Drosophila melanogaster: one gene and its partners. The protein of the gene in region 2 interacts with the protein of the main gene of each other region in a pairwise test. Each region holds a gene or a part of one and is shown on either strand. Other genes may lie near its edges. The genes, in order: CG12849, Spt7 and Gsc.

What was found.
Region 1: the proteins of Spt7 (region 2) and CG12849 interact in a two-hybrid assay, tested with the Drosophila melanogaster proteins (one large-scale study listed by BioGRID).
Region 3: the proteins of Spt7 (region 2) and Gsc interact in a two-hybrid assay, tested with the Drosophila melanogaster proteins (one large-scale study listed by BioGRID).

The regions. Positions count from the first base shown.
Region 1 is NT_033778.4:24,795,773-24,799,114, forward strand, and holds CG12849 (uncharacterized protein), read left to right. Parts: upstream 1-2,152; coding exon 2,153-2,200; intron 2,201-2,258; coding exon 2,259-2,414; intron 2,415-2,463; coding exon 2,464-2,628; intron 2,629-2,691; coding exon 2,692-2,841; downstream 2,842-3,342. Other genes in the region: Orc4 (origin recognition complex subunit 4), read right to left, coding at 81-1,268, 1,329-1,520; CG3611 (uncharacterized protein), read left to right, coding at 3,338-3,342.
Region 2 is NC_004354.4:17,848,394-17,852,146, forward strand, and holds Spt7 (Spt7), read left to right. Parts: upstream 1-2,066; 5' UTR 2,067-2,147; coding exon 2,148-2,290; intron 2,291-2,351; coding exon 2,352-2,454; intron 2,455-2,514; coding exon 2,515-3,348; 3' UTR 3,349-3,494; downstream 3,495-3,753. Other genes in the region: CG15814 (uncharacterized protein), read right to left, coding at 248-368, 426-661, 724-952, 1,021-1,317, 1,383-1,417, 1,515-1,562; CG32554 (uncharacterized protein), read right to left, coding at 3,495-3,753. UniProt on the Drosophila melanogaster protein: Component of the transcription regulatory complex SAGA, a multiprotein complex that activates transcription by remodeling chromatin and mediating histone acetylation and deubiquitination. The SAGA complex predominantly acetylates histone H3.
Region 3 is NT_033779.5:593,039-596,791, forward strand, and holds the start of Gsc (goosecoid), read right to left. Parts: upstream 1,648-3,753; 5' UTR 1,343-1,647; coding exon of another isoform or gene 1,169-1,342; coding exon 550-1,168; intron 1-549.

The DNA of each region.
Region 1 (3,342 bases), on a different chromosome or scaffold from region 2:
AAAACAGGGCTTTACCAACTAAATGATTCGGTACAATTTTTTTTAAATAAATAAATATACAAAGTATTTCTGATCTGCTGCTAAATCAGAGAGCTTTGCGCCCACTGAGCAACCTCTGTGGGAAGGGCCTGGTATCGCTGCATACAGTGGTGAATCTGGCTGTATGTCAGCGCCAGCTTATGCATCTCAAACTCTTTCTGCACCTTACCTACGCCCCCTCCAGCTCCACCGGTGAGCGGCATGATCAGCTCTGCGATGCGTAAATGCTCGAAGGCCTTCAGGACAATGGACCGCTCCACGGCCTGCATTGTGGTGGACACTTTGGCAAACTTGGAAAAGCGCGCGTAAATGATCTCGAAGTTGAAGGAATCGCGATCGTAAATCTGCGAATGGTGCTTGATGGCGATGATCAGGCACAGCTCTAGGACTGAGAGCCCGCAAAGCAGCTCTATCTTGTCGTCGCCCTCAAACTGTGATCCCACTGCAGCCATTTTTTCGGCTGTGATGTGGGGAGATTGCGGTCGGAGATGTGCCACCAGGCGGAATAGGAAGTTCTTGAGATAGGCCTCGCTAATGTCGAAGTCATGGAGCGCTTGGAGGGTGCTTCTTGCCTGCTGAGTGGCCAGGACTTTGCATATTTGCTTGTTCCAGGCATCGCGTAGTCTGGGCGAAAAGCCGTACTCCCCGGGGTCAAAATGGTTGCGGGAGAAGTAAAGTGCCCCCGACTGGATGTTTTGTAGGTTATAGATTTTCTCCGCCGCCAGCAACAGTGAATTGCCGGTCGGGAGGGACAGTAGATCCCTGCACAGGTCAACGTAATCCTCAAAGCGCCGCAAGCTGGGAAAGAGAAAGACCTGCCGGTGCGAGAAACGCGACTTGACCCGCTTCTCCAGCAGCTCGATCACGTCGAGGCGACAGGTAACGCCAAGTACACAGATGGGCGCCTGGGCTGACTGGGAGACGTCGAAGAGGTTGTAGAGCAGGGTCTGGTTGTGGTGAGCACAGAAGAGGTCGAACTCCTCGAGAATAAAGATCACGCTCTTGGAATGCTTGCCACCCGCCTTGAGGCATTGCAGCAGGAAGGCGAGGTTCTCGGCGAACGATCCGAACACTTTCCCATCCGCAGCGTTCTCCAGCTGCATCTGCACAGTGATGGACTTCAGGGCCACTCGGTCGTCCGTGTGCAGATTACCGTCCAGGTGGACGATGAGAGTGTTTTCCCCGAACGATTTATTGGGCAGCAAATCGGCCAGCACGGAGTTGATGAGCTAAAGAATTTGAAAGCATAGATTACTGGATTGGTTTCCCGGTAAGGCCTGCACTCATACCGTTGTCTTTCCGGATCCCCGCGGCCCAAGGAGCAGCAAGGAGTTGGATTCCCCCATTTCAGCTGTGCGTTGCAGCAATAGGCGCACATTGGACCGCTCCTTTGCGTAGCCCCTCAAGGTGGTGTAGTCTCGCTGGAGGCGCTCCTTCAGGAAGCGCCTGATGCTGACCAGCTCCCTATCCGCCTCCGGCATTTTCGCTCTCGGATCGGAACTCCTTTATTCCTCCTTATTTATTAGTTAAATGGACGCACAGATAGTTTGGATTTCTGCCAGTAATTAAGTCGCGCCAAAAAACGTCAACAATGCATTGGGGATGGAACAAAACCGATATTGGTTCATTTAATGTACGGTGGTTTGGAACTCTGATACTACTCAGTGTTGCCTTAAGCCGCCTGAAAAATATATTCGTGCCACAAACCAATACGATCTAATTTCTGCGGCTTTAGCACATTTTGAAATATCAACATTTTAGTTCATACAAAATGGACCTACGATTGAGGAATATGTACAATAGTAACTCTATAAATAACAATCAATTATACATATAAACATCTTTAAAAATATGAACAAATTTCTTTATTAATCGCATAGTCGTTGGCATTTTGAGGGTCAATTTGCTGGAATAGGTTTATTTGGAATGCTGTGTATTTTAAATGTCCATTAAAATAAGTTATTAAACACTCAATGGATTCTCAGAGATTATTTAATATCGGCTGGCAATTTCATAACAGCAATGGATCGAGTAATCACAATTAATAACTTTTGGAATGCTTCAGCTTTTGGCACTCGGTATTGTGGTTATTGTGATCCAGACCTCTTTAGGAATGAGCGGATTGTGGACTTTTCTGCTGATTTTTATGTCTCCGATGGCAGTAAGAATCGAATGCGTATGGCTAATAGATGGCACTATAGAATAATTGATATCCAAAGATCCGAGGACACTTCGAATTCAATAATGTAGTCTGCCTCGTGCGCGACAGGATGTTTATGGACTTTGAGTACTGTTACTTGAAGTCCGTGAACCGCACCTACAAGTACCTTTCGCTAAAAACAAAGATGTTCCGCCTGCCCGTCGACAACTGCGAGGTAAGAGTATAGAACTGTGTCGGTCTCACACCACCCGACCATCTTCCAGACCAGATTCCAGCTGAGGATGCGCGAGAACAGGCGAGTCCTGTACAACTTTGATTTCAAGGTGGACTCCTGCAAGTTCATGCGCGACCGCAAGCACGTGATCGCCAACTGGGTCTACCAGACCTTCGGCCCCTACTCGAACCTGAACCACACCTGCCCCTACGACGTGAGTGAGCGTTGCCATGTTCATGCCGCATAACCTTCGCCTTTCTCACCCACCCACCCACAGCACGACATCGTGCTCGACAAGCTTCCCGTGCAGCATCTGAACAAGCTGGTCCAGTCGATCATCCCCGATGGCAGATACATGATGAACAGCACATGGATGGTCGCGGGCATTCCGCGCACCGATGTCATCCTATACTTTACCAAGAGCTAAACAGTCAAATCCAGTAATATCCAGGCTCTTCAACCCGTAAGCAGAAATATTGGTAAGGTGTTATGCCGTTTTAGTATTGGATGGGGGTCAGCAGGACCAATATAGTAAATATAGTAAGTCTAAGTGGGTCTGTATGTGATGTATTTGTCACATTACTGAGATTTACGAAAATAAATATAGTGTAGTGACGAAAGTTAACTTAAACATGTACATAGGTTTCAGACTAGGCCAGTTCGTAAGCGTTAACAATTATGTGCAGAGTTTCTGCACAGGTGGCTGGCAGTGACCTGGATGCACTGCACCTGTCGTCTGTCAAGTGGCTGCTAATGCGATTAGGGAGCACACAGAAAACGGGATTGGCACTCGGGACTGGCAACTCAGCTGCCAATCAGGTGGGCCAGCCACAAACTTCACACATTTCGGACACATATATCAATCCACTCCACAACCAGAAGGACACGAAGTAAAGTAAACACAACCCCACACCCCTGACAAGATGCC
Region 2 (3,753 bases):
GCATTCGTCTACAGATCTTTCATCCGTCATCGTCATCATGGTTCAGGTTCATGTAATGGAGTCGTGGAGGGGAGCGGGGGAATGAACGGCGACGGTACTAGTGGTGCGGGTGTTTCGCAGCCCCTCCAGGTTGGTCTGTCGTTGTTTCTCCATCGTCGTGTTTTCCGTGTGGTTTCATGTGCAGGACTTAATCCGAAGTGTGTGTGCTTGACTAGACGCCGAGGAAAGCTAGTGCCGGTATCAGGATCTACTCCAGTCCCAGCATCCAGTTGATGCCTTGTACTATGAAAAAGATGAGCGGCTGCCAGGCCACCAGCCAACGAATCCAATCCAGCAGGCGACCGTACAAAACGTGCGGCTTCTCCCAGCTAGAGGAGAAACAATATTAAGTAGGCCAGTCAAACGGATGGCTCTGAATGGCTTACGGATTGCGGAACATCTTCTGGAGATCGACCTTTTCCTTGCAGTAGGGACACGTCTGCTTCTTGCCCACAATGCACCAACCACGTATACAGAACTCGTGGAATACGTGGTTACAAGACAACTTGTAGGTGTTCTCAATGACGCCCTCTTCCTTCTCCGAGACCAGCAACTGATTGCCACACACTGCGCAGACATTCTGATCAAGATGTCGTGTTGGAATACCCTGAGGTGTGTAGTACTGTGGGACAAACGGGAGGGTTAGAAGATTCCAACTGGGTATCTGGCCAATGGTCAACTCACGCCAATAGCTGCCGCCATCTTATCCGAACATATCTCGGATATATCACGCCCCAGGACGCCGATGTACAGGCCGTAGAAGCAGAACATCAGGCCCACATCCATCCATGTGTTTGGTGGCTGTGAGAACATGTAATTCATGCCCAGAAAGGCGGCTATGATCACCAGATAGCCCACCAGGCCAAGGCCATAGCTGAGCTTGTAGATGAAGTAGAACCACTTGTAGACCAGCCTGAAATTGGATTTTATGGGTTATTATCTGGCCTTCGTCGGTCGCCGTTCTTATCTACGTTGACTCACCTAGGCGTTGTGCCCTGGATGGGCTTGCTGATGGCCCGTCGCATAACCAGTGCCGTGATGCAGGTGAACACCAGCCAGATGATTATGAAGCGCAGCCAGCCGAAGCTGCAGGAGATGATCAGCGGAATGAGCCACATGGCCAGCAGGGTGACGAAAGCGTAGGATCTGTAGTGCCGCTTCTTCCACTCGACCAGGATGATCTGGGCAATAACCAGGGTGACGAACAGAATGATCACCATCTCGGAGTGCATGGCATCGTGGCCGCGATGTTTCTCCACCATCAGTTGATGCTGCGCTCTGTTCGATTGGATAGCCGAAAATTTGTTATGATTTAAAGGATTTTCTAAGGCCACTTCACTTACCGCATTCGCTCCTCCGGCGTCATTTCGTCCAGGGACTGATGGACATCCGCATTAGCAGGGAATTGCAGGGAAGAGGGAAAATTTGGCAGTAGAGTGGGGCTTCCTATTCGATTCCCATTAGAAAAGACTCACCTTGTTCAAGTCCACGGGCTCATGCAGGTCCATGTGCTCCTGGTGCATCTTATTGCCGTTGTATCCGCCGTATCCCGCTGCCGCCAATCCGCCGGACAGTCCCACTCGTCGTCTGCGTCGCTGCGTTATCTTGCCCACCACGTATTGCGATCGGTTTTTACCTTTGAAATTCGTGAAACGAAAACAAATAATTACATTTTATGCCTGTGTGCTTGTCCAGCTGCAGTGGCGTTGCCATTTGTCACAGCGGCCGAAAAAACGAATACATGTATGTGTGACGTGAGCCACAAAAATACAAGCGCGACCTGATTGTTAGAACCAGCTGTCCTGAGTATGGGGTTTTTCCCAAATTGTTGCTATTTTATCATAACCTTTATTTACTTTAGCTACGACAGCGCTTTCTGATTATCGAAAACGAAACGTTCGAGGCCAACGTTGCCAGATGCCGCTGCAGGCCGTGCCGATGTTTACCGACAATCAGCTGTTTGGTTCAATGAGTTGAGTATTTCGTTCCCAGCGCAAGCAAACTTATCGATAGTCCCGATAACCAACCATGTTATTTTAGGGCCCGATAAGTAAACAACAATATATTGTTAAGTAAATGTTGTACGTAGGTTTTTAAGCGAAATAAACATGCAAACAGAGCACTGGGGCTCGCTGCCCGCAGAGGATGACGGCGGTCAACTGACGCCGGACAAATACGTGCCCACGGCGGCCAAGAAACTTAAGCTGGACGAGATTCGCCAGCGCGGAGATCCGCAACCGCAAGAAAAGCAGTAAATAAATCTAAAGAAAAGCTTTAACGCAGCCGGTAAACTAACCATATATTCCATGTAGCCACAAGTTGGAGCTGAGGAGTGCGCTGGTCACCCAGACCATCGAGGTGATGAAGCAAACCGAGGTGCTGCAGTCCCTCATTGAAACGTACTCCAACAAAAATGCAAGTTCTTGGTTCTTGTTTAACCGTAGTATTTACCTAATTTACCCAATGAATTCATAGGGAAGTTCCAATTACCTCTTGAATCCGTGCCTAATGATACCGGAAGTGGACTTTCCGCCGGAGAACGCAGCCGAACTGGTGGGCAGCCAAAAGTTTCAGAAGCCCATTTGGTTCACACCAACCGTGGACACAGCCTACTCTCGCGGGGATCCGGAGGCATATCCGGAGATCCCCAGCTCTGCTTGCCGCCAGGCGATGCGCAAGGTGATGTGCGGCATGCTGCGCCTGGCCGGCTTCACCGACTGTTCCGAGTCGGCGGTGCAACTGCTGACGGACGCCACCGAGGAGTTCCTGCGCAGCTTTATCGGCGAGTATCGCGGCTACTATGACAGTCAGCCGCGGCTGCAGAATTCCACGGTGCTGCAGCTGGTCCCACTGGAGCGCGCCCATTTCGCCCAAACGGGCACCTCGCTCACCCAGGTGCACAACTACTACAAGCACAAGGTGCTGGCCAGGAATCGCGCGGAGATCGCTGAGTTCAACAGCGTACTGCAGGAGTACGACAAACTGATGAAGGAGAGCCAGAGCAGCATGCAGAAGCAGCACAACGAGTTCAACGGCCACGACTTTCTCAACATCCTGGACAACAGCGCCACAGGCAGCAGCCAGAGCATAGGCGGCATGGCCATGGGCGATATGCTGCAGGATCTGGGCGGTAGCACGGGCTCCAGTGGCACAGTCAGCTCCCAGCAGATGCTGTACGGCCTGCTCGATGGCCAGATATCGTCCAATACCTCCAACATGACGGGGACGAGCGGCAATGGCAGCACGGGCGGCAATGGAAATGGCAATGGGGCCACGATTAGCAACTTTCACGCCACTTTTGAAACGTAATTGTTAAAATTGCGGGGATAACTTCATTATCTCACACTGAGATATCTCTAGCAATCAAATGTTTCACACTTTTTATAGAACGACTAAGATCTCTAGGCTCAAGTTAAGTTAAGCTCTAAGGAAACGTACTAATTAAATAGTTTTTATTACGTGTTTTGTTTATTGCTCATCTTTTTGCTAATCCTCGACTCGTTCCAGTTGTTTTGTCGCCTCCGCTTGGTGAACTCGTTGGTGGGTTCAATGGCCACAAGTTTGGTTGCATTCGGATCGCTGGCTCTGTACTGGAACACTTTGTCGTGGCGCGTCTTTTTCTGGGCCCACGCCAGCAGGTCCCTGCCTTCCAGTATGGAGTTGCCAGTGACCACCACAGAGTCCAGAGCTTCGGGCGCGGATTGGTCTTCTTCG
Region 3 (3,753 bases), on a different chromosome or scaffold from region 2:
TTTTAATATTCATGTCCTGCGGGGGAGCCTTTGAATGAATTTAAGCGGTATTCTGCATAAATCTGCGCCTGAGATCCACGCTCGAATCAACACAAGGCCTGAGCCCATCTTAAAGCCACCCCAGCATCCCGGATTTCCCTGGTTTTTCCGGCCCAAGCTAAGACTTAGAGCCCAATGCAAATCCTCTCACCGCAAAATCGAAGGAAAATGGAGAGGAAATGCGGAATCATCTTTCACGGATCATTGCCTAATTATGAATAATGCCATTCAGGACTCGCTTCGGAATGGGTGTGGTTCGGTTGAGTGGGAGAGGATGAGGATGTCAGGATAAAAGTGGGTGAGTGGCTGAATGGGTGATTCCTGACTGCATGAGTGAGCTGCCTTAAGGTGATTTCAGAGTTTAGATGCATGAAATAAGGTATTTCAAAATGTTAAAATTTCTTTATCTAAAGAACCATCCTTTGAACTGGTTTCGTCTTAAGTTGTCTTCATAATGAAATTCAGCTGAGGGGGCTTGTGCGTTCAGTATAGGGGGATTGATAGACTTACCCAAAAAATCCGAGGGAGAGGCGGCAAAACCGCTCGCCGCTGCAGCCGCCAAGTGACCCAGATGCAGGCCAGGATGCTGCAGCATGGCAGGAACCCTCTGCGGTCGGATGGGACTGGCGGCTGCGCTAGAACTGGAGTTTGAATTTGGCGAGGCTGGGGACTCGGCGCCACTTCTTTTCAGACCCAAACTGATGCCATTCGAGGTGAGTCCATTTTGGTTGCCATTGCTGCTGATGTGGCTGCCTTGGCTTGGAGCGGTGCCTCCACCCTGTTGGCGAGAGCCCAAAATGCTGTCGATAGTGAAGAGAGACGCGGCGGCGGCTCCTCCTCTTCTCTCCTCTTCCAGAATGGTGACACCTGACTGGCTGCCATCATCGGAGGACGGAGTTTGACTTTGGGACTGCTGGTGTTGGGCGTGCTGCTGCTGGAGGACCGACTGCAATCGCTGGCCCAAGTAGCCGCATTGCTGCGAGTTCAGGAGCATGGCGGTGGTCAGGTGATAGGCGGCCGTGTTGCCAGGAGATCGCGAGATCTGCCTTGGAGGCTGCTGCTGCTCGCCGAGATCGCTGGGCGACCTTTTGAGGGTGTAACCCGCCGGCGGGGAATTTGTCTCTACCATTTGTGCCAGCATAGATCCAGCCGGAGGGGGCGTAGGCGGCGGGGAGGGGCTGGGCGTGCTCACGACGGTGATCTTGAACTTGGCCTTCGAGGGCGGAATGTCGGGCGTGGTGCTGGGAGTGGTGGTGGTGGTGCCTCCACCGCCTCCTCCAGGGGTCCACAGTGAGGAGAGAATCTTGAAGAAGTCTATGAAGCTTTCGAGTAGGAAAAAGTCTCTTCCCCACTGATTTTTTTTTAATGAAGCGGCACTTTTGAAGCACTAAGCGCTTTACAATTTTTTTTAATTCAGTAATGGTGGCAATGTTGCGAATATTAAGTCTAGGTTTTTTTCACTGGATTAGTGTGTTTTGATCGATGCCAAGTTCACTAAACCGCACTAGAAACACGCACTGCAATCGCGTCGTGATTTTATATTTTATTATTTCCACAGGTTTTCTGCCACCGGGAACCCTTCTTGTCCGCTCGAGCTGCGAAAGTGTTGTGAGAGCGTTCCGCCCGACAAGTTGTCGATTGAGTAGTCGTTAGGCCAGTTCCTCGACAGATATAGATACAGACTCTCAGATGCCAGATACAAACTCACATCTGCTCTCTCGTTTAGCGGACATTTTTCGACGTTGGCCAATGAAATCGGGGTGAAGCCACGCCCTCAACGCTACCATATTGCTTGGCAATACTCTCTGGCTTTGGACGCCTCTCCCTCTCTCTGTATCCTCCCTCCCTTTTTTGCTTTCCCTCTGTATCTCTTTCTCTCGCTCTAGCTGGTGGTGGTTGATGGTGTCGGGCCCCCATCTTGCAGTGTTCCAGGTTAAAGGCTGGCAGGAGGTCCAGGATAAAGATGGCGCTACAGAGATAATGCCCCATTCACCAGACCCCTCCTTTTCCACCCAATTCACACCAATGCTTCCATGTATTTTTTTGTATTTTTGCGCTCTCTACTTACTTTCTTTGGCCACTGACAGTTATTTATACAGATAAAGTCATCACTGACAGACCCCGCGGCCCCCACAGAAAGAGATAGCTGTCGAGGGAGCGATAGAGAAGGGAAGCGGGTGCGCAGGATATGGCAACAGAAGCTCTCTCGCTTTCACTCAGAGTGAGTAGCAGGGGTAGCATAAAAATGCTGATGGAAATTATGGGTGGCAAAAAGCCTGACGCTCTCTTCTCGCGTTCAGGGGATTCTGATACTCCACTGCCTCTGCTGGCGCCGTATCTTAAGAAGATAATGACTAAATTAATGCTTTTATGTTTCTGGCAACACATAAACATCATTATGCGCTCAATCCGCCCACGGAGAAGCGCTGCTCTTGCTCTTTCTCCCTTTCTGAGCTTTATCTTTATCATCATTCTTGCAGACGTTGGGAGCTTGAAAAGGGTTAAGGGGTGAACGTTTTATGTAGAAAGAAGCACGCTACTACTCGTACATAAAGATGAAGCTTACACTGGAGGGAGACTGGGAGCGCTCATTCAATAATCTACGGCACTTTGGTGACCCTCGTCGCTATTGTTTCACCTCGTGTGTGTGCATAGGAAAATATTTTAATCTAAAGTTTCCACATCAAACATGCCCAAGTGCAAAATCCCCAATGGCCGCCAGGGTTCGTTCCCTAGATATGCCCCCCCTCCTCGTCCACTCGAATGCAGGAAAACAAAAGCTAAGCTACGACTAATGATAAATGCAACTCTGCAAACCACACCCACAATCACAAATGGAAATCCAGCCAGGAAAAGCAAATGAACCGAAAAGTCCTTACAATGTCACCTATGTGGGGGTGAAAAATGGGGATCACTTGGAGAAATAATTCCCAAGTAAGGTCCATCTTTACATACTAACTAAACTTAATTCTGCTAGGAGAATCATGGAAGACGAGGCGTTCCTGATAAATTATCAATCAACACTGACTACTAAATTGGGTGGTTTCGAAATATCTTTAAATAATAAGAAAGTATTTAAAGGGCACCCAAATCGCTCTGTGTACTAAGATGGACAAAGAGGAGGGGTCCAGGGAGGGAGGCTTACATAAATGCAGATGTTTTAGTGTGTGTTGGGGGTATATGTGTTCAACTGATTACGGGGGCGCACGGAAGAAGAGGGGCGGTCCTGTCACATGCCGTAAAAGGATGAAAGGATGACGGCTGATGACGTCGCATGTGGCCAAATGCTTTTAGAAATTATTGAATAATTAAGCAGGCCAAGGACCGCAGGACCAGGATATTTCTGGTCCTCTTTCCCCTCCGATTCTTAGTGGATCCTGCCGCCCAGTTTTCTCTGGGCTTCGCTATTTGCCTTTACACTGAACTTCTTACATGGCCAACAACTCCCGACGGGAAAACCGATGATGACGATGTTGTAAATGTAAAGGAAATATTGAGTTGAGAATGGAAAAAGAGGAGGAAGCTCTGGGAGTGCGCTTCTCGCTAAGCTCAAAAGATGTGACGCACTTTTTTCTATTATTTTCCTCACAGAATTTGTTCAACTTGTTTTTTCACATGAAACTTTTTGTTGCCTTTTCTACCTACTCTGACCTCTGACCTGAATTCTTTCCCCACTTGCTGTGCACTTTTTGTTTTAGTTCGCAGATTGAATTT